Canis lupus familiaris: one gene and its partners. The protein of the gene in region 1 interacts with the protein of each later gene in a biochemical or structural test. Links are inferred from orthologs where the notes say so. Each region holds a gene or a part of one and is shown in the gene's direction. Other genes may lie near its edges.

Evidence for each region.
Region 2: the proteins of LRRK1 (region 1) and SNX21 form a complex in vitro, tested with the Homo sapiens proteins (2 studies listed by BioGRID and IntAct, with this or other methods). The link is inferred for Canis lupus familiaris from reciprocal best matches to the Homo sapiens genes LRRK1 and SNX21.
Region 3: the proteins of LRRK1 (region 1) and RET form a complex in vitro, tested with the Homo sapiens proteins (2 studies listed by BioGRID and IntAct, with this or other methods). The link is inferred for Canis lupus familiaris from reciprocal best matches to the Homo sapiens genes LRRK1 and RET.
Region 4: the proteins of LRRK1 (region 1) and ECHS1 form a complex in vitro, tested with the Homo sapiens proteins (2 studies listed by BioGRID and IntAct, with this or other methods). The link is inferred for Canis lupus familiaris from reciprocal best matches to the Homo sapiens genes LRRK1 and ECHS1.
Region 5: the proteins of LRRK1 (region 1) and SNX9 form a complex in vitro, tested with the Homo sapiens proteins (2 studies listed by BioGRID and IntAct, with this or other methods). The link is inferred for Canis lupus familiaris from reciprocal best matches to the Homo sapiens genes LRRK1 and SNX9.
Region 6: the proteins of LRRK1 (region 1) and POLR2M form a complex in vitro, tested with the Homo sapiens proteins (2 studies listed by BioGRID and IntAct, with this or other methods). The link is inferred for Canis lupus familiaris from reciprocal best matches to the Homo sapiens genes LRRK1 and POLR2M.
Region 7: the proteins of LRRK1 (region 1) and BAG2 form a complex in vitro, tested with the Homo sapiens proteins (2 studies listed by BioGRID and IntAct, with this or other methods). The link is inferred for Canis lupus familiaris from reciprocal best matches to the Homo sapiens genes LRRK1 and BAG2.

The regions. Positions count from the first base shown.
Region 1 is NC_049224.1:40,399,846-40,403,869, reverse strand, and holds part of LRRK1 (leucine-rich repeat serine/threonine-protein kinase 1), read left to right. Parts: intron 1-1,106; coding exon 1,107-1,271; intron 1,272-1,816; coding exon 1,817-1,989; intron 1,990-3,002; coding exon 3,003-3,123; intron 3,124-3,407; coding exon 3,408-3,567; intron 3,568-3,998; coding exon 3,999-4,024.
Region 2 is NC_049245.1:33,764,613-33,769,386, forward strand, and holds the start of SNX21 (sorting nexin-21), read left to right. Parts: upstream 1-1,905; 5' UTR 1,906-1,950; intron 1,951-2,217; exon of another isoform or gene 2,218-2,261; 5' UTR 2,262-2,267; coding exon 2,268-2,529; intron 2,530-2,959; coding exon 2,960-3,117; intron 3,118-4,774. UniProt on the Homo sapiens protein: Binds to membranes enriched in phosphatidylinositol 3-phosphate (PtdIns(P3)) and phosphatidylinositol 4,5-bisphosphate. May be involved in several stages of intracellular trafficking.
Region 3 is NC_049249.1:4,110,567-4,114,590, reverse strand, and holds part of RET (proto-oncogene tyrosine-protein kinase receptor Ret), read left to right. Parts: intron 1-2,287; exon of another isoform or gene 2,288-2,515; coding exon 2,516-2,663; exon of another isoform or gene 2,664-3,737; intron 3,738-3,743; exon of another isoform or gene 3,744-4,024. UniProt on the Homo sapiens protein: Receptor tyrosine-protein kinase involved in numerous cellular mechanisms including cell proliferation, neuronal navigation, cell migration, and cell differentiation in response to glia cell line-derived growth family factors (GDNF, NRTN, ARTN, PSPN and GDF15).
Region 4 is NC_049249.1:41,450,752-41,453,936, reverse strand, and holds the end of ECHS1 (enoyl-CoA hydratase, mitochondrial), read left to right. Parts: intron 1-1,301; coding exon 1,302-1,369; intron 1,370-2,245; coding exon 2,246-2,311; 3' UTR 2,312-2,506; downstream 2,507-3,185. UniProt on the Homo sapiens protein: Converts unsaturated trans-2-enoyl-CoA species ((2E)-enoyl-CoA) to the corresponding (3S)-3hydroxyacyl-CoA species through addition of a water molecule to the double bond.
Region 5 is NC_049222.1:47,942,256-47,946,279, forward strand, and holds part of SNX9 (sorting nexin-9), read left to right. Parts: intron 1-521; exon of another isoform or gene 522-628; intron 629-1,020; coding exon 1,021-1,097; intron 1,098-2,255; coding exon 2,256-2,345; intron 2,346-4,024. UniProt on the Homo sapiens protein: Involved in endocytosis and intracellular vesicle trafficking, both during interphase and at the end of mitosis. Required for efficient progress through mitosis and cytokinesis. Required for normal formation of the cleavage furrow at the end of mitosis.
Region 6 is NC_049251.1:23,182,443-23,186,903, forward strand, and holds the start of POLR2M (protein GRINL1A), read left to right. Parts: upstream 1-1,378; 5' UTR 1,379-1,512; coding exon 1,513-1,625; intron 1,626-3,807; coding exon 3,808-4,455; intron 4,456-4,461.
Region 7 is NC_049233.1:24,632,818-24,636,418, forward strand, and holds part of BAG2 (BAG family molecular chaperone regulator 2), read left to right. Parts: intron 1-1,938; coding exon 1,939-2,048; intron 2,049-3,601. UniProt on the Homo sapiens protein: Co-chaperone for HSP70 and HSC70 chaperone proteins. Acts as a nucleotide-exchange factor (NEF) promoting the release of ADP from the HSP70 and HSC70 proteins thereby triggering client/substrate protein release.

The DNA.
Region 1 (4,024 bases):
TTCCAGTTCAGGTCATTAGGCATTTAAACTGTCCTCTAGAGAGCAGGGTCCTGCCCTGTAATGCCTTGTAATGCCTTGTAACGCCAGAACGATTGGTTACTTAATACCAGCAGTACCATCACCACCACCCCTGAACACCCCAGGAGTGAATCTCACTAACTCCTGTCCAGAGCGTCTCTAAAGTCACCCATAATCTCTGGATTCTCTCCTATTTTTTTGGTTTTGGGTTTTTGGGTTTTTTTGAGTAGTGACTTAGTATCACTTTCTTTCAACTGGTCTGTTTCAAATGCTTTCCGAGGTCAGAGAGGTGAATTGCTGTTTCCATTTTTCCTGTCCTTTGGCATCCACTTCCATTTGGCCAGCATTATAATTTCCCCTCCTAACCTTTCGAATGCTGAGCTGTGTCACTGCCCGTGTGTCTGGGCCCTCAGCCAGTTCAGAACAGCTGTCCATTTTCATGCCTTTGCAAAAGCCGGTCAGCACGCCTTGTCTTGGCCTCCTCTTGGAGGCCAAAATGCAATGTCGTGCAAACGATTCTTTGCTGCAGGAAACTGCAGTCCTAGTTGCTGGGGCCAGACTCTGACCTCATAGGACAATAGAGAAACCACCGTTTACACAGCCTTTCCTGGCAGCACAACAGCACATCTGTTGTTTGATTCCCACATCAGGGCAGCTGCCCATCATCCTTGGTGGGCGCCGCCTCCCAGCCTACGCAAGTTCAGAGGCCCATCTCCTCGGCCTCACCCTCGCAGGCACCGATGGAGTTTAAGCCTTGGGTGAGTGCTGACGTCAGCACCTGGGTGTCCCCTCCAGTAGGGAACCATCTGCAGCAGAGACAGAGGCAGAACAGTGTCCCCAGCGTTCTGCAGACACAGTTGGACACAAACACCCCAGCCCACAGGAGCCAGCCATCCAGGGCCGGGCCCCCTGCTCTGTTGGCGGTAGATAGGAGCTTCCAGAAGTCCTTCTCTTGGGTTACTTGATTCCTGAGACAAATGGCAGGATGAGGAAAGCCCTTCCCGTGCTGTGCCTGAGCCATCTCAACGTGTTTGGCTATAGCCTTGGTCCCTAACTGCCTCCTGTCACTGTTCTTGTTGCACAAGCAGGTGGATTCTGTGGAATTCACCGTCTGGGACATCGGAGGCCCCGCCAGCATGGCCACTGTCAACCAGTGCTTCTTCACGGACAAGGCCCTGTACGTGGTGGTCTGGAACCTGGCACTGGGAGAGGAGGCCGTGGCCAGCCTCCAGTTTTGGCTGCTCAACATTGAGGTGAGGAGGCACCAGCCCTGCAGCTCTCGGGCCTCGGAACATCACGGGGAGCAGGGTGAGGGGGTCTGCCGCTGCTCTGAAGCATCCCCTTGACTGCGGAAATAAAAGGAATGGTCAGGGAGAAACGCTTGGCATCTTGGCAGGCTTTCAGAGGACCCAGAATCAGGTCGCAGTGAAGCGCTTCAAACCCTCCTTGACCAGGTGATTATCAGCACTCTTAAATTTAAGAGCCCCCACCCCCGACTCTTGGACGCAAAAGGAAGACAGAGCTCCCGTCTCACAAGTCAAGGTGGCAAGAGCCTGGATGCAGGCCACAGCCACAGGAAGCTGACATAGAGGCTGAGGGGATCAGAAATCCAGCTCTTCTGGGGTGCCTCATGCAACCCCTCGGTGCATAACATGCCCTCGAGGCTTACAGAGCGGAGTGTGGGGCACAGTCCTGGGTGGTGCCGAGGGTCGGCTCGCCTCTGTGCCCGGGAGCTATGTCCCAGTCTCTTCTTGGAGCAAAGGAAGCCGATGCTCAGCTGTGGGGTTCTCTCTGGCAGGCCAAGGCCCCAAATGCTGTGGTGCTGGTGGTCGGAACACACCTGGACTTAATCGAAACCAAATTCCGAGTGGAGAGAATTGCAACGCTGCGCGCCTATGTGCTGGCGCTCTGCCGCTCACCATCCGGGTCCCGGGCCACAGGCTTCCCAGACATCACCTTCAAACACTTGCAGTGAGTGTCCTGCTCTCTCTTGCCTGGTGCCTGGCTGTGGCTGAGGCTGCTGCTCCTTCACCTGTCCATCTGCCGGGGGCCACCGGGATCTGCCTACAGAGGGCTCCTGAGCCAGAGCAGACCAGACCACCCCGGGGAGGGCAAGCTGCCTCTAGTGGGCAGGCAGGGCAGAGCCTGGGCACACCCTCTCCATGCTTCCCTCGGGGTCCCCTCCCCGCTGGAGCCAATGCTGAGCATGCATGGCCCTGATGGGACCAGGAGATAGAAATGCGTGTGCCTGCCACTCGTCACGTTTGCTGATCTCTGACCAATCGCAGACCCAGGTGTGGTCCTGGTCCTCACACTGGGTCTGAGCGGTCCCGGCCACTGCCAGTGGGACCAGAGCCCTGGGCTTGTTGCTTCTCTCTTGACTCACGACAGCCCTGTGGGGTTATGGGAGTCCTTGTGCCCACTTCACAGGCGATGGAACAGGCCCAGCAAGTTAAGGAAGCATTCTCTCGTAGGAATGAAGTGTGAGTTGCTGTGCTGGTGGCTCTCAGGTTCCTTCACCCCACTCCCCCTGGGTGGAGTGCTGCAGACCTTGGTGCAGGGTCAACCTGGGGACACCTCCACCTGCCCCAGAATGCAGGATCTGGCTGGTCCTGATGCAGAATTTCAGGAATTCTTCGTGTGCCCTTGAGGACACCCTGAGGCCGGCGATAAAATAGGGGCACTGGCCCTGGGCCAGAACCAGGTCCACCCCAAGTGTGCTCCCTTCCAGCTTGTGTCCTTGGGGGGGTGGGGGGTGTCACCTGGCACCTTTGGTCCTCACTTTCCTCCTCCTCAGGACACATACTACATCGCTCCCAGCACAGAGCTTTGCACTGAGAGCTTAATACATTTCTCTGTGTTCACCCTTCATGGGTTCTTTTAACTTGCCAGCCTTAGGGATGAAATTTTGGGACACAGATGCTGCAGAACTTGTCAGTGAGAAGAGGTGTGATGAGTGATCACGTTCTGTTTTGCACTCACAGTGAGCTCTCCTGTAAGAGTCTGGAAGGCCAGGAGGGGCTACGGCAGCTGATTTTCCATGTCACGTGCAACATGAAGGATGTGGGCAGCACCATCGGCTGCCAGAGACTTGCGGGGAGGCTGGTGGGTACCGTAGGCAGGATCCCACTGAAGCCAGAGGGGCTGTTCCCTATTCGCCAGGAATCTAAACTTCCCAGCCCCCCCATTGTCAAACACGTGTGCTGCGGGCTTAGGCTCAACAGTCCCCCATGCGAGCAGTTTTCTGGGGCAGGGGTGGGGAAGGCTGGGGATGGGGCAGCGAGAAGGGAAGTTCACACACTCAAGCCTCCGAGGGCAGCAAGCAGGGTTGGGTGGGCCGGGCACACCTCAGGACCTGAGGGGCCCAGCCTGCCCCCTCTGCACCCCAGATCCCCAGGAGCTACCTGAGCCTCCAGGAGGCTGTGCTGGCAGAGCAGCAGCGCCGTAGCCTGAGCGACGACGTGCAGTATCTCACAGACAGGCAGCTGGAGCAGCTGGTGGAGCAGATGCCTGACAATGACATCAAAGACTACGAGGACCTGCAATCGGGTGAGCGGGCAGGCCAGGAGGGCAGGTGGACGGGACACAAGCATGGGGCCTCCAGAAAGGGAGACTCACCTTTTTCACTGCTCTGCACCTGTCTGCGAATGACTGTCAGAGCACTTCAGGTGGTTGTGACACGGGAGTCACAGATACATTGTCACAAGGAGCCAGATCTGTAGAGATAGATGGAGAATCTGGATGATGGAGGTCCGCAGACCAGAGTCCTCCTGCTGGCCATCAGATCGGCACGCTGGAGAGTGTTATGAGGTGCCACCAGGAAACCAGTGACAGGGCAGCAGGCCCTGCTAAAGGGCAGTGTATGCCTGGGACCATTGATTGCTTCCTAAGGAAAATTTGTGACCTGGGTCCCCTAGGTCACCCCAGAGTCCCTATCACTCTATGTCTGATGCTGCTTCATCCTCCCCTTCCCTGGGCAGCCATCAGCTTTCTCATCGAGACTGGC
Region 2 (4,774 bases), on another chromosome or scaffold:
AGTTCGAGCCCCACGTTGGGTGTAACTTGAAAAAGAAAAATACAAATCAAAAATAACATCACTTCTTTCAGGATCCCTCCTCCCCTACACAGGCCAAAGGAGTCCAAGGCAGTCTTCAATCATAGTCCTGAGCATGCCACATGACATGACCTGTTCTGAGTTCCATGGACCAAAGATTGTTAGTTGTTCATCACTGCATTCCCTGGTACCCAGCACCTGGCACTTAGCAAGCACTCAATAAATATCATGTTCTTTTATATGAATAACTGAACTGAGTGGCATCTGGTTATGAGGAGGAACTTCCTAACCATCATGGTTGGATAATAACAGGAATGGGAAGCACTGGGAGATAATGAGTTTCCTGTTACTGAATGTGTGCAACCAGGAACTTAATGACCATCTCTAGGGGCAGTTTTAGGGAGATATTATACAGAATCCAGGATAATGGAGAGAATATAAGACATCAGGAGAACTAGTTCTCGTCCTGTTTGTATGACCCAAGGCAGGTCCCTTCCTCTCACTGAGCTGCAAACTTCCCATCTGTAAAAAACAGAAGTACCAGACCAGATTTCTGACAACCCATGGTTTTGTCTTTTATACCCAGACTTGTGAGACATATGCCAAAAGTTAATATTCTTGTTTGCTGTTCAGTAAATGAGTGAGTGTTGAATAAATTAAGGAATGAAGTGTGTCTTTTTTGCCCCAATGTCCTACGCTAAGTGGAATGAAAATTAGCTAGAGCCTTGAAATTACATGGGACTTGGCCATAAATCCCAGCTCCCCTATTTCCTTGCTCTGGATTTTGGGAAAGTCAATTTGGCTCTTCATCCTGAAAAAGGACCATTGTTATCCAATAATAGCTCCCTCCCCAAGATGTGTGAGATGTCACCCTATGTAAAGTGCCTAGAACAGGGTGTAGGACGCAGTCAAACCTCAAAAACTGAGAGCCCTGCCTCTTCTGCACATAGTGGAGCAGGGAGTGTGTTGTGTTTTCCATTCAAAGCTACTTTCCCCCACCTGTCTCTCCTGTGCCATTCAAAAAGGGTAGTAGGAAGGATTGTCAGAGAGATTTTATTTGTTCAGTTGTATAACAAACAATATCTGCCCTGCTAGGGACTGATCACGAGGGCTTTTGACAGGAAGTGACAATTAATTCTTTCTGACCTACTCCTGCCCTCCCGATAAAAGGTAAAACACAGCCCTTCAGGGAAGTTGCTGAGATTACCAGGCCTTCTGTATCGGAAAAGAACAGAATGAGGAACTCATAGCTGCAAGTCCCCACACTCAGAAACCTCTGGCAAGCTGTGTGACTCTGGGCAAATAACTCTGCCTTTCTGGATCTCACTTCCCCGTTTATTACTTCCTATGTGTGAGGCTCAAATGAGATTTTAAGAACCTGTGAACACTGTAGAAACAATAATCGCTACGTGACTGATGGATATGTCAGCCCCAGGTCTGCGCCAGGCACTGGATCAGGGTCCTTCCAAGAACCAATTACAAAATTAGTACTAGTTTGAAATGTTCCTGTTTCACACAGGAGAAAACCTAGGTTCGAAGTCAGACTCCAACTCGGATAGCATGTCTTCCCTTGGCCTCAATTTTTTTCACCGGAGTGATGGGCCTCCCGCTGTCGCCTGACTTTGGAAAGTTGGGAGTGCTGGATGGATGGAGACTGTGGGATAGATTGGGGCCCGCCGGGGCAGGCCGGGTCTTCGGGATGGGTGGGAGGATTCACGGAGGCTGGGAGCCCCTGCGGATTGGGTACGATCCCGCAGGGGGGCTGGGGTTCGCCCAGGCCTACCCAGGATTCCCAAGTCCCTCCCGGAGCGGAGGGCCCGGGATTCCCGGGAGGCTCCGGGGAGCGGGCGGGGCCGGGGGCGGGGCGGCGGCAGGAAGCGGCCGGAGCGGCGCTGGGAGCGGCCTGGGCCCGGCGAAGCCCGGCCGGCCTCGGTAAGCTGCCGGGGCTGCAGCCCGGCCCCCGGGGTACCGTGCGCCCCTGAGCGCAGGAGGGAGAGACGCACGAGCGGGCGGGAGAGACGAGGGGAGCCTCGCGGCCTCTCCCGGCAAGAGCGCGGCCCTAAGTCTGCGCGGGGAGTGGGGGGCGGCGACGCCTGCGGCCCGCGGGACCCCCAACGGGCTGGGGCGGGGCCTCCGCGGCGCCCCTCCCCCCGCCGCCTGGGCCCCGCCCCTCCTCCCCGCGCGGGGCCCAGGGTCTTCCCTCCGGCCCCCGCCCAGGACCCAGCGTGGCGCGCTCCCCCCAGGGTGCCATGGCCTCGCGGCTCCTGCACCGGCTGCGGCACGCCCTGGCCGGCGACAACCCGGGGGAGGCGGCGGCCGGCCCGGAGGCCGAGCAGTTCCCGGAGAGCTCGGAGCTGGAGGACGACGACGCCGAGGGCCTGTCCTCCCGCCTCAGCGGCACCCTCAGCTTCACCAGCGCCGAGGACGAAGAGGACGAGGACGACGAGGACGACGGGGAGGTTGGCCCCGACCCCCTGCCCTCCGGGGACGGGGCATCGGGAGAAGATGCAGGCGAGTTCCCGAGGACAGGCGGGAACCCTGGGGCTCCATTAGGCCTCCACCCTAGCCCTGTTCCCCAGCCACCTCTTGGCTGTGTGACCTTGAGAGAGTCACAACACCTCTCTGAGCCAAGTTTTCCCTCGTGTCAAATGGGGTAAATCACTCCCACCTCGAGGCTGCTGCGGGCATTAAACGTACAGGGTCTGGGATACAAATCGTAATAATGTGCTTGCCATGTTTTGCGGGATGGAGGTATTTAGAGCCTACTATCTGCCAGGCATGGTTTTGGCACCTGGCCCCTCTCTGGCCCTCAGTTTCCATTTATGTCAAATGGAAATAAAGCCTATCTCACCTGTTGGGAGGATGAGGGTGGGCATCATACACAGTTTATGTCTAACTTAGCCCCAGGCCCACTGATGTGACTGGTCGTGTGCTCATGCAGAACGGAGCCCCCCACCTGATGGGCAGCGGGGCAGTCAGCCCCTGGCAAGGCAGTTGCAGGATTTCTGGAAGAAGTCCCGGAACACCTTGGTGCCCCAGCGGCTGCTCTTCGAGGTGACCAGCGCCAACGTGGTCAAGGACCCACCCTCCAAGTACGTGGTGAGTGAGGGCCCAGGAACTCCTGGGCTGTGAGTCTAAGTCTGGCTAAGAGAAAGGGAGGAAAGACTCCCAACTTCCTGCAGCGGTGGGGGGCTGTGGGGCGTGGCTATATAGTTATAAATGGTCATCTCATTTTAGAAATGGGGAAACTGAGGCCAGAAAGGGGATGTAACTTGATCAAGTCCTTAGGCAAATGACAGCTTTCTGAGGGATTATGGACCTGCCCCCATCCTGGTTTGGAGACTAAGAAAACTGGTGTGTGCGCCCCACCCCCACCCCAGATTTTGCAAACCCTAGCAAAATACAAGATATACAGAAAAGAATATTATGTGGGTCAGACCTGAGACCCAAGTTGCATTGGTTAGTGGCTAAAACGGGTTTTCGATCCAGACCTTGATTCAAACTCTACTTTTTCCCAGCTGTTTGACCTGGGGTGAGATGTGTAACCTTGGTGACCCTCTTTCCTCATTTCAGCGGTGAGGATAAAGCAGAGAATTGTTGCAGAAATTAAACGAGACAGAAAAAAAAATAAAATAAAATAAAAAATAAACGAGACAGAGATGCCCAGGTGGCTCAGCAGTTTAGCACTGCTTTCGGCTCAGGGCATGATCCTGAGTGCCAGGATCAAGTCCCACATCGGGCTCCCAGCATGGAGCCTGCTTCTCTCTCTACCTGTCTCTGCCTCTCTCTGTGTCTCTCATGAATGAATAAATAACATCCTTAAAAAGAAAAAAAAAATGAGATAGTGCAGAGAGAGCCCTTAGCACTGTGCCTGGCGTTATGAAGTGCTTGATAAAATGGTAGCTCCATTATCCTGACTTAACTTTGGCTTGAAAATGTCTGGCATCTAGGACCTGTTGTGGCCTCCTTACAGCCCAGGTGAATCAGTCCCCAGGCACCCACAGTGTACACAGTAATCTTGTTCTGACAGCTAGATTTAGGGGGTAGGTGGGGTTGGGATGAAGAGCAGTGTGGGGGAGGGCCTTGGAGTCTAGTTTTCCTTGCCATGGAAGGGAGAAGCTGGCATGGGAGAATGAGGTCTGCCAGTCCTGAAACCCAGCCTGACCTGGCCAGTCCTGGCAGACTCAGACTTCCTTCATCTTCACCACCCTCCTCCATTTCTGACTCAGCAGGAAAGGGGCCTGGAGCCCTGTCCCACATCTGGGCCTCTCCATTCCTTTCTGCTGCTGTTAGTCAACGAGGGCCACGCCCATGGGGTGACTGCTCCAATTTGAGCAGGGATTGACTCTGATGATCTAGTCTTAAGTGGCAAGAGTCCCAGCCAGGCGTCATGCACAGGAAAGGGACCCTGAGGAGCAGCCGAGCAGCAGGGAAGTATGGGGTGAATCTGGGAAGAGAATGACAAGATAGAGCAGGAGGGCCAGATATGCCCTGGCCCATGTCTGGGGAGACAAGTCCCCTCCTCTGTCCAATGGGACCCTAAATTCCCGATTTAACTTTTCCTGGGGGTTGAAAGCCCAGGCTGTGGAATTAAGCAGGCCTGGCTATTTCCCAGCTGTGACTTAGAGGACATCTTTGAGCCCTTTGTCCCTCGTGGAGCCCACTTCCTCTGCTGTCAAACAGAGGCAGGGACTCCTTACTTACTGTGCTTCATAGTAAAGTGCCCAGCACAGCACATCATGGCACAGGGCAGGTG
Region 3 (4,024 bases), on another chromosome or scaffold:
GCAGGGGCTGGACCAGGGTGGCAGCAGTGGGGAGGGGAGTTCATCTGTGGAGTGAAAAAAGAGGTGCTGTGGGGCCTCTGGTCCAGCTGTGGAGGAGGCAGGCCCCAGGATTCTGTAACCAGCTGCCTGATAGAGAGTGCCAGCCAGAGCCAGTAGGCTCCCCTTCCCCCTTCTCCATGGGAGGGCCTGGGCCCATAGTTACTGGGTACTCCATAGAACCTCCTCCTTGCTAGGCCTGCCATCAACCTGCCCTGCTTCTTCTGTATCCCTGCTGGCAACTGCTGAGGAGCTGGAAGCCAGGTTCTTTTTTAAAATCTTTAAAGATTTTATTTTTTCATGAGAGATACAGAGAGAGGCAGAGACCTAGGCAGAGGGAGAAGCAGGTTCCCTGCAGGGAGCCTGATGCAGGACTCGATCCCAGGACCCCGGGATCACACCCTGAGCCAAAGGCAGAGCTCAACCATTGAGCCACCCAAGTGCTCCAGGAAACCAGGTTCTTAAGTGGGGCTGAGAAGATGTGCATGTGAATAGAAGCTCCACCCCCAAGGCCTGGCAGGGAACATTGCATCTTGACTAGAGCCTCCAAGCAGAAAATTCAGGAACCACTGGCCTTTGGCAGTATCCAACCAGGGCTAGGAGGTGGCTAAGGTTTGTTGGAGGTGCCACCCAAGGGTGCTCACCCCTTAGTGTGGGCCTGGGCCATGGGAGCCATTCCCACTGGTGGCAGACACTGCAGCCTCTCTCCTAGCTTTCCTAGTTCCCGTCACTACACAGATGGGATGTGACCCCTGTCCTGTAAAGCATCTCTGCCACCACAGCCAGCCTCTGGGATGAGCCACTTGACTCCTTTATAAACCCAGGCAGTGTACAGTGAGGTACACAGGAAGGGCAGTGCTGGCAGGTGCTTGTACAAGTGAACATACACCACCCTCCGCCTACACCAGCTTGGGCCCTCAGCATGGAGAAGCCAGAGCCTAGTCTGCAGCCCAGGGCCTACTGACCAGCTCTAAGGACACATTACTCAACTGCTTGATCTTAGTTGTCTCAATATAAAGCAGAGAGAATTTTTAATGTCCCTAAAGAAAATCAAATCAGTGCTATCCACACATGCTTAGTGCAGTTTCCACATGCAGCGAATGCCTATCTGGTGCAATGGGGAGGAAGGACACGAGGGTAACAATGATGATGTTGTCGACTCCACCCCTGACTGTGGGTTCTTGCAGAACCCGAGACAACACCAGGATGCCCAGGAGCTGGCCAGCAGGAGCCCTAGATACGGTGCTGAAAGGAGGTCACCTCTGCCCACAGGGGCAAACACAGCTATACTTGGGTGTTGGAAAGCATGGCTCTGCTTGGCAGGGCCGGAGGACCCAATGGTGTCATCTGTGGGAGTCAGGCGAGTCTGGCAGGGTTCATCATAGCAGCACCCCCAGGCCACACCCACCTCCAGCTGCAGGGAGAGTTGGGGCAATAGATGCCCACTGCCGGCACATGAAGGGAGGTTTCAGCCTCCCTGGTCAGAGTTCAAAGATTTGGGGCCAGGCTGGGGTCTGGGAAGATGTCCCAGAGTAATCTTTCCTTTTTTTTTTTTTTTTTTTTGTAAGATTTTATTTATTTATTTGACAGATTGTGCACACACACAAACAAGTAAGCAGAGTGGCAGGGAAAGGGAGAGGCAGGGTCCCTGCTGAGCAGTCTCTGATGCAGGGCTGGATCCCAGGACCCTGGGATCATAACCTGAGCCAAAGGCTCAACTGACTGATGCCCAACTGAATGAGCCACCCAGGCACCCCCCCACAGTAGTCTTGAGTGAGATTTTAGTGGGAAGGCAAGATGGGTAGAGGGGAGCATGGTAGCAGGTGGATGCAGGTTCAAGGAAATGGCCAGTCCCATGAGAGGAATAGCCTCTTCCACATGTCAGGATGGAGGCTTCCAACCCCCCTAGTGATATCTTTTCTGGGGCACCACACAGAAAAGGACACTTCCATCCATAGTTAGGGGTCCTGTTCTGGGAGGCAGCATAGGCTGCTAATGCCAACAGGGTCCTAGGAATCTCTGGAGAGGACAGATTGGGGCCTAGTCTGTAGGACATCAGTGGCTTGTGGACAGTACCGGGAAGGTTGGGCTCATCTCCCAGGAAAGACGCCACACTCCTATGTGAACACCCTCTACATCCTTAGTAAGCCCTAAACTCCTTGTTTGAGAAACAAGGACATGAGCCCGAGATGGCCAAGGGCATGTTCGGTAGACTGGGGACAAGCAAGGATCCAGGCATCCAGAGTCCAGGCCATTCTGTGGCAACGTTTATCTTTCCATAAGGTACAGGTCCTGCCCAACTGTGGGGTCCCACTCTCAGTGCAGGTAGATAACCATTGCCCACTAGTCCAGGTGGCAGTTTGCACACCAGAGCTTGTCCATTGGAGACTCATTTATGAGCCTTGTCTTCTTCTTTTCCTCTTACCCTCACCAACTTTCTCCCTTCTCCTCTTCTTCCCTTTCCTCCAACCCCACATAGGAGGATCCTAAGTGGGAATTCCCTCGGAAGAACTTAGTTCTTGGAAAAACTCTGGGAGAAGGTGAATTTGGAAAAGTGGTTAAGGCAACAGCTTTCCGGCTAAAAGGCAAAGCAGGATACACGACCGTTGCCGTGAAGATGCTGAAAGGTACCTGTCCAGGCAGTATGTACAGGTGGCTCTGGAGCCACCCTGACAACCAGGGTGTGGCAACCAGCCTAGGGCCCTCTAAAGAGCCCACCCCCATTGCTATTCTTGAGTGGCTGCATTCTGGAGATGCCCCCATGCACCATCACAGATAACAAGGGCCAGGGTAGTCCCCTGGAGAAACAAGGCAAGAGAACTTTTCATCACTGGGAAGGTTTTAGAATGGTGCTGTTTCTGCACCAATGTTGGGTAAAGATCTGAATTTTTTAAAAATTAAAAAGCCTTTTGGTTTTGAACTGACAGCTCTTCCATCCCAATCTGCCCCATTCATCCCTTTCAACCAGGTGCCCCTGTGGTCCTGGTGAAGAAGCCACCTGTAAGGCTTGGCCCCTGTCTCTTGGGGCCCTACCTGGCCCAATCCCCAGTGGCCCCCAGTGGATGTGCCCTGCCTCTGAGACCAGGCCGTGCCACAAGTCTGGCTCTAAATGGGTACATACTCACCCATATACACACACACTCACTGGTGTTTCTGAGCAGAGACTGGGTGGACGGCCCTCTGGCATGCCAGGAGTCTGGCTCACATGGACCAAGGGCCCAGTGGCCTTGCAGCGGGTACAAGTCGGCAGGTGCACATGAGAATTCTAGTGCAGCACTCAGGGCTACACTGTGCAAGGTGCTTGAATCCTTACCTAGGCCTCAGACTGTGTCTTTCTGTGCTCCCCCCTGAAGCCCCAAACACTAAGGGGCACACTGAGACCAGCCCCAGGCCACCATGTATGGGGCCCAGCACCCTCTCTCCCAGCTGTCCTCTCACTTCCAGACAAGTGTGTGGCCAGAGGTGGCGATGTGGTATAGCTCGGCAGTGAGCTGTGAGGCAGCTGCCCCAGGAGGCCTGCTTAGCCAAGGCTTCTGACCCCACATCCCTCCCCTTAGGCTTCAGCTCCTCGTGGGAGCCCAAGCACAACTCTGCTTACCCTCAGGATGCACGTGTGCACATGGCAGAGGCCACCTCTGTGAAGTCCCATAATCTCCAACTGTATCCAAGGCCTCACCTCCTGTTGAGTGCTTGGTCAACAGCTGTTATAGGACATGAAACAGTCCTCTTACCTTCCCAGAAGGATTTATGAGGACAATGTCTGTGTACCACTGTCCTTGAAAGATGACAATTGCAAGGAAATATTACCACTTATACACACAGCCGGTCCTGGGAAGGTTTCCATAGAAAGACCTGGCTGATGTGGAAGTTTGCTCCTCAGAGTTATTATTCGCTGGAGGCATTTGAGGCTACTGTTGACCATCCTAAGGCCAAGAGCCCCAGGCAGCAGGGTCCTTGGGGGCCTGGTCTAAAACCAAGTAGGCTGTCT
Region 4 (3,185 bases), on another chromosome or scaffold:
CAGGACGGTCCCTGAAGGAAAGCCAGCCGGGCTCCCGGGAAACCCAGTGCACGTCCCGGGACCTGGCAGACGATACCCCGTCCTCGGCCAATGGTTGTGCCTGCCGTGGGGCAGCCTGGCGGGCGGCACAGGCTCATGGGACACCCGGGTGACCGCGGACAGTGCAGGCTGCTCCTTGTTGCCCCGGACTCTCCATCCGCCCTACCGGCAGGGCAGCTCTGGCCCCACTGAGCATCCTTGTGTCTTCACGGAGCCTGCTGTCCTCGGCACTGGGGTCAGCTGCCGGCTTGCTCGCCACTGCCTGCCGGGGGGCTGCGAGCTGGGGGGCTGTGAGCCGGGCGCTCGGGTCTGCGGCTCCTCTGCAGGGAGGCGGGCGGGCCCCCCGGGCTGCTGGCCTTGGCTGAACCGCCGTGGGTGATGCGTCCCCACAGAATGAGCAGTTAGCTCACGCGGGGGCGGCCCCCGCTGCTTGTGCTGTCCAGGCGCCTGCTGTCCGTCCAGGTGCTCAGCCAGGGACACCACTTCGCCTTCCCGGGGCCACAGTGCCCTGCCCGCCCAGGACTCTGTTATGGCACAACGTTTTTTACGGTTTTCATCCTTCATTCTCATTTTCTTTTTAATTTTATTTATTTATTCATGAGAAGAAAGACAGGCAGAGACACAGGCAGAGGGAGAAGCAGGCTCCATGCAGGGAGCCTGACGCAGGACTCGATCTCAGGTCTCCAGGATCACGCCCTGGGCTGAAGGCAGCGCTAAACTGCTGAGCCCCCCGGGCTGCCCCTTCATTCTCATTTTTTAATGCTTTTTAAAATATATGTAATTCTGGGGGGGCACCTGGGTGGCTCAGCCCACAGAGCATCTGACTCCTGGCTCAGGTCGTGATGTCAGGTCGGGAGCCGAGCTCCAGCTCCAGCTCCGTGCTCAGCGGGGGTCTGCTTGTGACTGTGCCCCTCGCGCTGCCCCTGCGCCTGCTTGTACACGCTCACAGTTTCTCTCAACATAACATTTTAAAAACTAATAAGTAGTATGTGATTCTCTTGGCCCTCCAGTCCTCTTGTGCTTGCACAGAGTTGGCCGTCGCACTCTTGACTCCATTCCTTGTTCCTCTCCTGTGGGGCCGCCGGCGGGAAGCCGGGGGCAGGGGGCGGGGGGGGGGGGGTCTTCGTAGGCGACCGTGTAGGTCACAATATCACGACAAAATCGAGGCTGATTGGGTCAGTGGGGAGTGTTTCCTGTCCCCATGAAGAGTTGTCTGTTCCCACATCTGCCCCTGGGTCATAACCTAAGGGATTTCTTTTCAGCTTTTGAAATGACGCTAACGGAGGGAAACAGGCTGGAGAAGAAGCTCTTCTACGCGACTTTCGCTACTGTGAGTGAGCGTCGGGGTGGATGGACGCGGGGCCCAGCCAGAGAGCGCGCCGGGGAGGTCCCCGTAGGGCTGCGGTAAATGAGTTGTCTGCCGCCCTGCAGCTGGATCAGATGCGTCCTGCCCACGAGCACAATTAGCAAATAACTGCCCAAAGTATGAAGCGTTACATCCTTGACCAAGGTCTCAGGAATCAGGAATCGCGCCCTTAAACGGCAGCCTCCTGTATTTAAAGGCAATCCATCTGCCGTAATTTTCTAGATCGTTCCAACGACTTGGCGTGGAGTTGGAATGTATCTAATGCTGTGTTCTGAGGCTTCAGAACAGTGTCCTGCAGGATTTGACAGTAAGCGAGAGGCAGTCCTTCTAGTAACAGGTGTTGAAACCCACCTGCCGCGATTAGAGTCCTAGACAGGTGTGTTTTATGGGAGCTCGGAAACGGCCGTGGCCCTCGAGGAAGTGAAGGCGTGCGTGTGACCATGTGCACGCTCGTGCGTACGCGCAGGGAAGGTGTAGGGCTAGGGCTTGCACGCCTGTGTCCTGCTCCATGGCGCTCAGGATGGTCCTCCACGCGGACCGCCACTAAACCCAGGGAGCGAATTAGTGAACGGCCCAAGCAGGTGCGTCTGAGGCTCCCTGGGTGAGAGTTTGACACACGAAGCGGTGGTTCTTGGATGATCACCCCTGGGGGCTCCGGTGGCCGGGGTTCCAGGCCATGCGCAGGTGCGCAGGCAGTCCCGGGGCAGGACCCTCCCCACCCTGGGAATCTGTCAGAGGAGCCCAGCAGACCGAGAGCAAACCCAGAACGGGCCGAGCCCGTGCCTCCGCCCGTAGGAAACCGGGAACGTCCATCTCTACCTATTTTCCTTCTCCCACCAGGAAGACCGGAAGGAAGGGATGACCGCGTTTGTGGAAAAGAGAAAGGCCAGCTTCAAAGACCAGTGAGCGCCTCCGCCTCTGCCTTGAACCCTCGACTCGAAGACAGGAATTACGGTCTGACGGTCTTAGAAGCAAATAAATTCTCTAGTAAAGGGCCCTGTAGGCGGCACGCAGTCTCTGACGCACGGGGCTCTCGCTCTCCTGAGTGGGGGCGGTCTTCACCCGGCGGTCCTGAGACTCCGTGTCTGGAGCCTGTTCTCATTCTGACTGAGCAGATTCTTAATCAAAAATTCTCACACACACACACACAAATTCTTACGAGGGGAGCTTGGGCGGCGCAGTTGGTTACGTGGCTGGCACTGAGCCCAGGTCATGATCTCAGGGTCGTGGGGCTGAGCCCTGCATCGGGCTCCCTGCTTGGTGGGGAGTCGGCTTCAGACCCTCCGTCTGCTCCTCCCCACACTCGTGTGCACACTTGAGCGCTCTCTCTCTCTCTCTGTCAAATAAATAACCCTAAAAAAAAATCCTGCTGGTGAGCCCTCAGTGGTGTGTGTAAGTTTTCACTTGACTTTAGGGACTGAGATATTTCGATGCCAGACTCACTCCGTACAGCCTGCCGTGTTGAGATGGACGCGCGTTCCCCCGGTCGCTGTGCAGCTTCGCAGCCCGTGAATGTGAAACTCGGAGGAGGGCGCCACCGGCATGCAGCGGACGGAAATCACGCTGTGCCTCTCCTCGTAAGCAGACGCCACGTCGCTCTTCAGACTTTTGTCATTGTGTGACAACGGTCAAACGGAAGGGAAGTCCAGAAAGTAAGTCACCCGGCACACTCCTAGGGTAACCGCCGTTAACTGGAACGTAGCTTTCTAGGTGCTTCTGTGTATACACATGCACACACACGCACCTGCATACACCGACATGGCTCAGTGCTCTTTTTATG
Region 5 (4,024 bases), on another chromosome or scaffold:
AAGTCATGATCCCAGAATCCTGGGATCAAACCCTGTGTCAGGCTCCCTGCTCAGCAGAGAGCCTACTTCTCCCGCTCCCTCTGTTATTACCTCTGCTGTGCTCATTCTCTGTCAAATAAATAAATAAATAAATAAATAGATAGATAGATAGATAGATAGATAGATAGATAAAATCTTTTTTAAAAAAATAGAAATGCTTCAGATCAAGAAGGAGTGATAGAAGTAGAATAGCAACACTTTGCAAACCTTTCCTAAAATGAGAGATTTAGATAGTACAGGAAACAGAGGACTGCATTATCACCACAGACACAGCAAAACCCAGACTGTGGGTACCAAGGCACCTAGTTTCTTCAATACCCCCGAAAAGAAATTGGCAAGAAAAAAGGGAGGAGAAAGAACCTAAAGACTAAAGAAACACTTCAGCTCTCTATGATGTGGACTTTCTCTGAGTCCTGAAAGCAGCGAGCTTGATTCCAGACTCCAGGGAGCTGTCCACTTACTGGATTATCAGGAGCAGTTACCTTGTCTCCAGTGTTGTGTTGATATTGTCCTTGCTTTTTAAAGAATGCTTATCTTGGGGCAGCTGGGTGGCTCAGTCAGTTAAGCAACTGCCTTCATTCAGTTCAGGTCATGACCCCAGAGTCCCTGCTCAACAGGGAATCTGCTTCTCTGCCCACTCCCTGCTCATGCTCGTTCCCTCTCACGCGCTCTCTCTCTCAAAAAGGTGAAATCTTAAATCAAAACAAAAAAGAACTTAAAGTGTGCTTATCTTTGAGGTCAAATTTATGGGTGCATTGTTACATGGCCAGTGAAAGGGGGACTTTAGGGGCGGACAGTATGGGTGCTGCAGAAAGACTGGCCATGAGTTGTTCACTGGGAAGCCAGGGGATGGGTAGATGGGAACTTGTTACCCTATCCTCTAGTTTTGAAAAGTATAGTGTTTTCTATAATAAGATTTTTAAGTAAAGTACGCGAAGGGAAAGTACATATGACCACTGATGTAGCTGTAATGATTTCCAGGCGAAACGGATCTCAACGCTGCCATCACCGAAGCAGGAAAGACTTACGAAGAAATTGCTGGTCTTGTGGCAGAGCAGGTATCCACAGAGACCCATGTAGCTCCAGGGCACAGCAGCTGCTGTCCAATCCACATGTTCTTTCAACCTATTTTAAAACAAACTTTGCCAACAACTCTCCTCTTATGTTCCTCTGTATCTTTTGTTAATTGTATATGGTAATAGTGTTTCTTTGGTTAAGCTAAAGTGATGGATACATTTATCATCGAGAAATCTAAATGAGTATCTTCCAGTGTCAATGGCTGGATCCATCCTCAGCCATCAGGAGTTGGAATGTTCTATCAGGAACACCGTTCATATCACCATTTAGACTCTTAGCTTGTCTGAGGCTGCTTTACCCACCTGGTAAACGGTGGTAGTAGAGCCTACTCTGTAAGGTTCTCAGCATTCAGCAGCCACAAAGGAGAAGGCACCAGTGGGGGATTTGGCAGGGAGAAGGTCTTTGATAGAGTCACATGGCTTTTACTGAGGCCTTCAGTAGTCCTGATTCCAGTTCTTTTGACAGATAACCAATAACAAATTCCCTTAAGGGGAATAGACATCTGTGTTGACATTTGTGTCTCAAATCCCTAAATTAAAAGTTTTTCAGACAACTTCTTGAAATACGTATTTGTGCACATACACCCGTTGCACACCCCTTCGTGTTAGTCATTGACTACTGCTCCTTATAGAAAAAGATTAGGTTGAAAAAAAAGAAAAGAAAAGAAAAAGATTAGGTTGTAGAAATGCATAACATAGCTATTAAAATTATAATTCAGAAAAATTGAAATATTTTAAGTTGCCACTTAAGATAGTTACCAGATCTTTAGTAATAATTTACATTCTCTGCCAAAATTTAAACATTAAGTTACTACATCTTCTTTGCTTGTGTATGAGTAATATTAACCAGTTTTCCCCCCTAATAGTATTATATTTGAAGCCGCCTCAAAATAACTAATTTTTATCAGCCAGCCTAAAAACGATCTGATGTTTTATGATTTTCTCTCCAATCTACAATTGAGAATGTAGTAGTCTTGGGGCCTGTTTTCTTGCAGGAAAACTAGGCTGATTGCATAGCCCTTGGTATGGTAACTAGTACCCCAGGGGCTTGGCTCATGCAAGTCCTCTGGGCAACTGTTTTCTTGGCCTTGATGGTCTGGATTTCTCTGCCAGGAATAACCACCCTGTGTCTTGTTTTAGCCAAAGAAAGATCTTCATTTCCTCATGGAATGTAATCATGAATATAAAGGCTTCCTTGGCTGCTTCCCTGATATTATCGGCGCCCACAAGGTAACTTAAGCACAGAAGTGCACAGATGACACGGGTGACCTAGGGCTGCTACGCAGGGCCACCTGCATGGCCACCTGCGAGGGCCCTGTCGGTCAGCTTGGCCCCAAGTAAGGAAGAGCTTTCTGAAATCGGCCGGAGCTGCCTGTGGTGTTCAGTTAGTGAGGTCCCATAACACATATAGGCTATGGGTTATTGTTTCTTTGATTCTATAGACAGACTATTTTGAGGGAACAAAAATGTGAAAAATACTCCTTTCTGCCTATACTTAGGTCAGGTATCAAACAAAATAATCATGCTATTTGAAATTCAAAACAAGATTAGGAATACTGCTTCCCTTACTAGTGAGACCTCTGTAAGCTGCTTGGGCAAGTCACTAAAGACCCTTCCTTCCCCGTCAAGATGAAGTAAGATATTCTGTCCCTGGGCCTGACGAAGGGTTCCTAATTAAAACTTAAATGGTCAACGTCGATTTTATATTTTTGTGCTAATAAGGAAACTATAGAAGTCCCACCATAAAGGTATTTTTTGAACTGAATTTTGACATGTTTTGGGATGTCCTCACTTTTTGATTCTGGTTAGTTTTTCTGTTTCCAACTCATTATTTCAGAATAGGGGCATTTTATCAACTATAGTACTCTGGGATGTTGTAATATACTTGAATTTATTAGGAAAATCTCTGCCAAGGGCTGGTCTGTGACCCTAACAATTCTGACATGTGGCCATTTTAGCATTCAGCTCAATAATACAAGCCTCAGGAAGGGGTAGTATGGGCAAATAGGAAGCTTTGTGCAACTTCAGATAATTTAATATGAAACTCAGAACATTCTCTTTACCAAGTGGACACTTGGGGGGTGTTTCGGTATTGTGGCTGTTGTGGGTAATGATAGGAATGCAGTGATCTCTCTGAGATAGTGGTTTCCCCTTCTTCAGATATGTACCCAGAAATGCAATTGCTAGGGGAGTAGATCTTAAATGTTCTCGTCACAAGGGGAAAAACAAACTTGTAACTCTGTGAGGTGATGGATGTTAACTGTTACTGTGGTCATCGTCCTGCAGTAAAGACAGACCTCAGATGGTTATGTTGTACTGTCGTACACCTTCAACTCCTACCTTGCTGTCTGTGAATCACATCAACAAAACTGGCGGGGGTGGAGAGGGATAGGGAATAAAATAAACATAATAAAACTAAAAGTCTTAGTTAAAAAAACATCTCAGAAGAGTTAGCTTGTTGTAGGGATTTATGCCAGCAGTTAGAGTTTTGGGCATGGAGCCTGATTTATGCACGAGTAGAAAGTTTTTCTTCCCAGGCAGCTCTAATGAGCACTGTGATGATCCTGGAGTGGGAAACGTTTGGCAGCTTTTACCACGACTTCTGAGTATCAACTTGGAATTGATGCAGTGCTCCTTACAGACCTGGAGCAAAGCTGACAATTCACACGCCCAGGCACCCACAGACAGCATGCCCCCACCGATAGAGACAAAGAGGGCCCTGACACACACACGGGGCTGCCCCTCATCCACTTTCTAAACTCCGGTGCCTGTTTCTGTCTCATGTGCTACTCTTGTCCTGGCACAGGCTCACAGAGATTACAGAAATAGATTGCTGTTTGGTTTTCCTTCTGTTGTAGCCTAAAACTGTCCGATTTAGCTTAGTTCTGTTTTTTAAGAATAGCAACCTT
Region 6 (4,461 bases), on another chromosome or scaffold:
ATTTTATCTAAGAGCCTCTATCTGATTGGGAGGGAACAGCTCTATTTATTACAGCACTATACACAGGATTGAGAAAATTAAAGATTTTCCATATCAGAGAATGGGGGGAGGTGGTGCTGGAGGTTATAGGGGTGCCCAAACCCCCCAACCGTTACGTGTTGTGACTCTTGCACGCTTTTCCTAGTTTTGCTTTGGGACACAGCTCTGGTAGCTGAGCTGTAAAGACAAAGTCAGAGCCACCTGGGATGCTTCTTACACTGCTCTACTCTTAAGATTCTTAACAACCTGAAAAGAAAAAAAACAAAAACAAAAAAAAACTTTCAACAGTTTTAAACATTTGGAAATAGGCGGAAAAAAAAAGAAGATTTTTTCCAAACGGGTGTGGTAGAAAGAGTAGCTGGGCATTGGAGTGACATCTGGTGCGGCCACTTAACTAGTTTTGTGCCCTGGGAATACCTCATTGATTTTGCGCCTCTGCTTTCCCACGGGCGAATTGGGCAGTTAGGAAGGATCGGTTTCAGGCTGACTTGTCCGGCACCTGCCACCATCACCTCCGGCGGATTCTGGAGGGGCCTGTGTACCTGCGGGGCGGGCCGAGGGTGGGGTCGGGGGGCTGGGGGGGGGGGGGGGGGGACTGGTAGAGGCGTCGGGGATTGTTCCGAGCTGGGAGCTGCACTGAACCAGAGGGCGCAAGCCAGACACATAAATGTCCTGCTCCGAATGCCACTGAGTCCCACTAAGAAACGCTGATAGTCACGAAAAATCCCTCCAACTTAGTTTGAGGACCTCACTAAGCCCTGGCCGCCTGGGCCCCGTCCGGCACACTCCCCCGGCTTCACCAAGGGCGAGTTTCCACTTCCATCCCACTTCTCAGAAGGCACCTGCCGGGGGGGGGGGGGGGGGCTTCTTTTTTCTTTTTTAAAAGATATTTATTCGTGAGAAACAGAGAGGGGCAGAGACACAGGCAGAGGGAGAAGCAGGCTCCCTGCAGGGAGCCCGACGCGGGACTCGAAACGGGGTCCCCAGGGTCACGCCCCCGGTCGAAGGCGGCGCTCACCCGCTGGGCCACCCGGGCTGCCCCTCTTACTGCTGTTTCACCATTACCTGATTAGTGTCTGCCTCCCTCCACCCCTCGGTAAGCTCCACAACGGCAGGAGTCGGGGACACGTGTTGGGGGGTCACAGCGGCGCTACAGGCAACACTTTTCGAATAAACCTGAAGAGCCGAGCCGACGAGCCGCGAAGAGACCCCCGGCGCCAGCGCGCCCCGCCCCCTCGGCTTACGTAACTTCCGCCCCTCCCCGCTCCTCCCAGCGCCCCCTTCCCCTCGCCTGTGTTTGTTTCCGGTGTTTCAATAAAGCTCGATTCGGCTCGAAGAAGCCCCGCTCTTCCGGGAAAATGGCGGCTCCCGCTCGTACCTCGGAGTCCACGCCGGCGGCGGATCCGGCGCCAGCAGCGGGGGCTGCCGAGGGAGCCGAGTGCCCGCCGCCGCGCCAGCCGCAGCCCCCGCAGAATGTCCTCGCTGGCCCGCGGCTTCGAGCCCCAAGTTCCCGAGGACTTGGGGCGGCGGAGTTTGGCGGAGCTGCGGGAGATGTTGAAGCGCCAGGAGAGACTTTTGCGCAACGAGTAAGCTGGGGTCCCGCCGAGTCACCGCCAGGCTTCTCCGGTCGGGGCTCCCTGGGACGCGTTCGTTGCCCTCCCCCGCGTCGGGTTCCCTGCCCTGGAAGGTGACCTTCCCTCCGTCAGACCCGGGGGTGCCGCCGGCCCGCGGACGGCCTCCCGCCGCACAGGCGGCCGCGCGAGGGCCCAACGGCCGGCTGCTGGAGTCTCAGCTGTTCCCTGAGTCCTCCGCGGTGCTAATGACCTTGCTACCCCGACGGCTCCCTGAAGGGAGGGGCCGTGGCCTAAATCCCGTGGCACCTCCGCCTCCCTTGCCGCCCGGACCGGGCCCAGGACACCGGGTCAGTTCCGTCTCGGTCCCGTTCCTACGGGAGCTGTAGGAAGGAGAGGGAGAGTCTGGAGTGCTGCATTAGGCAGGAAAAGTTTGTCCCCTCCAGCTGGCCGACTTCCCTTTAGCAGGTGAACAACATAATGAGAGTGATTTTTTTATTTTATTTTTTTTAAGGACGCTTCATTTAGCAGATCGGTGCAGGATGGTTTTGGAGGAATCCGAGGCAGGCGACAGCTGGAGGTTATTTTCAGAGAAGTTCCCAGCAAGGGGGACTGTAGAAGAGTAGTTGTCGGATTGGGAAAACTCCGACCAGGCGTGGAATAATCGGGGTAGGTAGTTGAAAGGGATGGCTGAAGTTCCCAGCCTGTAGGGAGGACCACTGGTAAGAACAGGAAAATTGGGGAAGAGCTCCGAGGTTGAGTTTACTCGGGGGGTGCTGAGTTGGACAGGGAGTTAGTTAGATGTACTTAGAAGATAGAGTAGGGGGACCCCTGGGTGGCGCCGCGGCTCAGCGCCTGCCTTCGGCCCAGGGCGTGACCCCGGAGACCCGGGATCGGGATCGAGCCCCACGTCGGGCTCCCTGCGTGGAGCCTGCTTCTCCCTCTGCCTGTGTCTCTGCCTCTCTCTCTCTCTCCCTCCTCTCTCTCTCTCTCCTCTCTCTGTGTCTCTCGTGAATAAATAAAATCCTGGGGAGGTGGGGGAAAGCTAGAGTAGTGGTCATGAGGATCCGGAGAGAGAAGGCTGAGGACATGTAGGAATCTCAGCTGGAGAGGGATTCGGTGTTGTAATTGTGGGAAGGAATGTAATGTGAGAGAATGGAGAGCCAGAGGTGTAATCTATCTTCCCTCCGTTTCTAATAGAGATTAAAAAAAAAAAAAAAAAAAGAGAGAGAGAGAGAAACTGAAAAGGAATTTCTGTCAGTCAGCAAAAGGGACAAATGACCATTTGGGAGCTTTCGAGTAGGTTCAAGTACTTTGTGAGAATGGTTTTTTAAATCTATAGCAGCGAGTTAACCTTTTGGTCTCAGGACCCCATTTATACTGTTAAGACTTAAGGAGCGTCCCAAGGAGCTCTTGTTTTACAAGACACATCTACTGGTGTTTTACAAAACATCTACTTACAAAACATCTACTGGTGTTTATTGGTGTGTTAGGAATTACAGGTGAGAAGGGCACTTGGGTGGCATCATCGGTTAAGCGTTGGATTCTTGGTTTTGGCTCAGGTCGGGATCTCGGTGGGGAGATCAAGCCTGGCGTCGGCTCCAGGAGTCTGCTTGGGATTTTCTCTCCCTCTGCCTTTTCCCATTTGTGGTCTTGCGCTCACTCTCTTCCCAAAAATAAATAAATTAGAAAAAAAAGTAATTACAGGTGAGAGATCTTTAAAACACAAGAATACACAGTGATTAGCCATCAGAGCAGTATCACGTGGCCTCTGGAAAACTCCCATTATACCCATATGAGAAAAGGAGCATGGAAATGGCAAATAATGGTTTAGTATTATTATGAAAATAATTTTGACCATGCAGACCCATCCACGTCCCCTCCTTAGGAAGGCCTTGGACATCACACTTTAAAAACTGCGAGTTTTGGGGTGTATTATAGGATATTATGTGCTTAAAATACTTTTGCTGAAATTCTAATTAGACAGATGAGGAATACTTATTTCTGCATCATGTATTTTTAGAGTATTTAGATAATGCGTTTTACTTTATTCCTGTTCTGATGCAGTAGGAAGTCAGATTTTTGGCTTAAAGATAGATTTTTTTTTCCCTTTGAGGATAATGCTTTTGTCTTTGTATCTCAAGTTTAAAAACATGATTCTAACAAATACATGTGTGTTTTTTTCCCCATTTAACAGAAAATTCATTTGCAAATTGCCCGACAAAGGTAAAAAGATCTTAGACTCTGTTGCCAAACTGAAAGCTGCCATTGCAGAATGTGAAGAAGTTAGAAGAAAAAGTGAACTGTTTCATCCTGTTAGTTTAGACTGTGAGCTAAAGCAAAAAGCAATTGCAGTTGTTGATGTGGACACAGATAAGGCCCAGAATTCTGACCAGGTACTTGATACTTCATCACTAGTTTGTGGCTCTTCCTCTGTAAGTAACATCAAGTCATCTCAAACAACCTCACAGCAACAGGGACTTGTACATCCTTTTGGTGAAAGCTATGAAGAAGCTCCAGAAGTGGAGTACACAGTGAATAGGTGCCCAGCCTCCAGCAGCAGAGCCCGTGCACCTTCCTCTTCCGAAGCTAATGTGCGTCTCCCTCAACATCGGGTTTCACGTCAAGCAGAAGATAATTCTAGCAGCTCTTACAACCTGTTTATTGATAAGTTACAAAGGATCACAATTGTGGACCCGGGTGAAGGGCACTCAGAAGAGAGCAGGAGTGCTGAAAACTTGGGAAGGCTCCGTAGTGGGGCACAGAAGAAGCCTCATTACATGGAAGTGCTAGAAATTCGAGCCAAAAACCCAGTGCCCCCAGCACATAAATTTAAAACTAATGTGTAAGT
Region 7 (3,601 bases), on another chromosome or scaffold:
GCTGGTTCTACCAAATATTAAGGCATATTACAAGGCTATTGGTATTTTTTTAAAATGGATATTGGTGTAAGAACAGTTAGATACACTACTAGATGGAACAGAGATTTCAGAGTAGACAATGTATAAGTCAGAGGAAAGATGGATTTTTGGTGGATATAATGTTGGAAATGGTTCACTATTTGGAGAAAAATAAAACAAAAAATCCTTACCTAAACACATATAGGTGGATTCTAGATGGACTAAGCCATAAATATGAGAAAAGTAAAACAATGAAGTTAATAGAAAGAAATGTAGGAAAATACCTTATGACCTCAGATGTAAAGACCCTTCAGAAGCATAAGCCACAAGGCAAACAAAACCAAGAAAATATTAATTTGATCACTTCAAAGTAAGGATATCTATTCAGTGAAGAATATCCCAGGCAAAATTCATCGATGATAGGATCGAAGAAGATTATTACAATGTCTGTAACTAACATGGGACTAATTCTTTGAGTATGCAAATCAGCAAGAGGACAGTAACCCCCATTTAAAAAAGAAAAAACAAAATAGGCAAAGGCTGTGAACAGGCTAACAAGAATACAAAGAGATGTCCAAAATTATTAGTAATGAAAGACATGCAGATTAATTATGAATATATCACTGTATACTTAGTAGACTGGCAACAAATAGGAAATTGGAAGATGCTGAGTGTTGGTAGGGGTGTGGGAACACAGGGATTCCAATGCTTTACTGCTGGGAATATTGTGAAGGGGTTCAGGACAGGGCCCCCCAGAATGTGCCACTTTGGCATGTGGGTTCTTTTGAGCTGAAGGCACTTGAGAGCCTGCAGGCTCAGGAGAAACTTCTGCCCCTCCCTTAACCACACAGAAGAATCTAAATTAGGGGTCTTTCCCAGAATAAAGGTTATAAGCAGAGATAAATTTTATCTGAGTGGCCCATCTGTATGGCAGGGCAAACATCTAATTACCAAACATCTGCTCTTCTTATCACCCTGCGTTCCTTTTCTTTGAAGTCCCAGACCATTAACCCCCTTCTCCTTCTTTCAGAATAATAGGTATACCTCATTTTGCCTAATTGTCTTTGGAATTTCCATGTGTATGTGGATTCCCCTATGTACACTATTAAATTGGATTTTCTCCTGTAAATTGTCTCATGTCAATTTGATTCTTAGTCCAGTTAGAAGAACCTTTGAGGGGACAAGAATACTTGCTTCCCAACAGTGGTCTAGTGTGGCCATTCTGGAGAACAGTGGTAGTACCGAATTAAATGGTGGGTGCACATACCCTGTGTCTCAGCAGTTCTGCCCTGAGATAAATCCTAAGAAGGTTCTCATTCAAGTCCATAGGGGACCTGTATTCATTGAAGTGCTTTTTTGTGCTGATGACAAGTAAGGGGACATGGTAAGCATTTTCACTGGGAGAGAGGAGGTGAAATCAGGTGAATATACATGGAGTATCATGCAGCAATCAGAAGCTACTGATTAGATATTCACATAGGAATCTGGATGGTTCTTAATAAAATGCTGAGTGAAAAAAGAAACAGTGAAATATAAATTGAAAATAGATGAAAACACAAATACAGATTTTGTTATGAACGAATACAAAATAGATAAACACTAAATAGAATGCCATACACGCGAGGAGGAAAAGGAGACTGGGGTGGGTGGATTTAAAACAATAGAAAAAATTTTTAAATATATATTTTTTTGACAGGCAGCAAAGCAGAGTTTATTGAGCGATAGTAAAGTGATGGTACAAAGCTCCCGAAGAGGGAGGGCCCCAAGAGGGTTGCCCGAAAAATTTTAAAGTTTTTAAAAAAGAATAAAGAACTTTTCAAAAGTGTTCCTAAGGATCTTTAAACTTGAGATGGAGCAAATAATAGAGATGAGGAAAAGGAAACTTCCCTGTGGTAACTTTTGTTTTCCCAATTTATATAGGGTGGAAGCCTTGAGAGAAGCCGCAACTGCTGTTGAGCAAGAGAAAGAAATCCTCCTGGAAATGATCCACAGCATCCAGAATAGCCAGGATATGAGGCAGATCAGCGATGGTGAGAGCATTTCCACAGAAGGGAGCTCATCTTTTCCACTCTTTCATGGGATTTAGGATAAGTGTGGGTCCATTTTCACTTGACTTGAGGAATGAGTACACTTGGCTTCAGCATTTCCCATGAGTAGCGGACAACAGCTGTCAATTTATTATTACAAGAACCATTTACAAAAAAAAAAAAAAAAAAAAAAAAAAGAACCATTTACCCAGAGGTCACCCTTCTGGCCTGCTGCCTACCTCAGGGGCATGGTTAGAAATGTTAAAAAAAAAAAAAAAAAAAAAAAAAAAAGGCCTCCAAGCTCCAGAAGAGGTGGTCCCAAGCAGTAAGGTGATGCCTTTGACCTCAGGTTTACAGTCCTGACTTCAATTCCTCAGAAGTTACTGGATGGCAGAGAGGACAAACGAGAGGGGTTGAGGTATTGAGATAAAATCCAGGGGAAAGAAATAATGGACCCAATAAAACCCCATTAATGTAAAAATGTGCTATCATTTCTATATGAAAAGCATGAGTTTCCGTGGAGGAATAGGGCACTTGTATTTCCTTTCACTGGCGGTGATCTTTCTAATTTGGTTGCTCCGGGGCCTCCCTAGACAAGCTCATGGTCCAACAGCTGGTGCCATGAGTGTACAGTCTAACTCCAGGCCCTGCACGGTTAGACACACATGGCAGGATCAAGATCTGGCCGGTCTTTTCATCATCCTGGCCAAAGATTGATGAATTAAGAAGGGGGTTACAGGGAAAAAAAAAAAAAAAAAAAAAAGGGAGTTACAGAACAGGACAAAGAGGAGATTACTGACTTTTTCATGTAAATAATGAAATGTGGATCCTTTTTCCCACCATTGCCTCTCTGTGCTGGCCAAGACTTAGAAACCACTGGCCTGCTTAAATTTCCCTGGAAAGGATGAGTCACTGCCGAATTTCGAGGCCAGCTTTTTCTCCACCATCATGGTTATGTTTTTTTCAGCCAAAATTGGAGCATTGTATTCTGATATCCATGCAAAATATACCATCTCAAATTTTGCCTCTTTGGCATAAGAATTATTTCAAGCTGATTATTTTTGAGAAACTGCAGACACAGGAGAAGCTCTGAAAACAGAATAGAAGTTACTTGTTTGTAAGGGATGTTTACATTTATAAGGGATATTTCCATTTGTAAGGGTGCCTGCCTCCGTGTACCAGGAAGGATAACTGTGAATCACAAGAAACCCTTATATACGCCAAAGGCAAAGCAACCCTTCCCTGGTTTATCCTGCTTTTACTGGTAACCTCACTAAAGAGGGGAAGGCCTCCCTCAACATCTTACTCCTCAGCTGAAGATGGTTTTTAAGGTGGTGGCTTGGGCTCTCCATCTGAGAGGGAGGCCATCTCAGTGTCCCTAAAATTCTGCTATGTATATGTGAAGTATACATGTTAATAAGCTTCTGCTTTTTTTCTTGTTAATCTGTCTTTTATTACAGGGTTTCTCAGCCAAGAACTCAGAAAGGTACAGGGAAAATTATTTTTCCTCCCCTACATGCACATCCTTATCAAGAGATCCACTGCATCTGATCTCT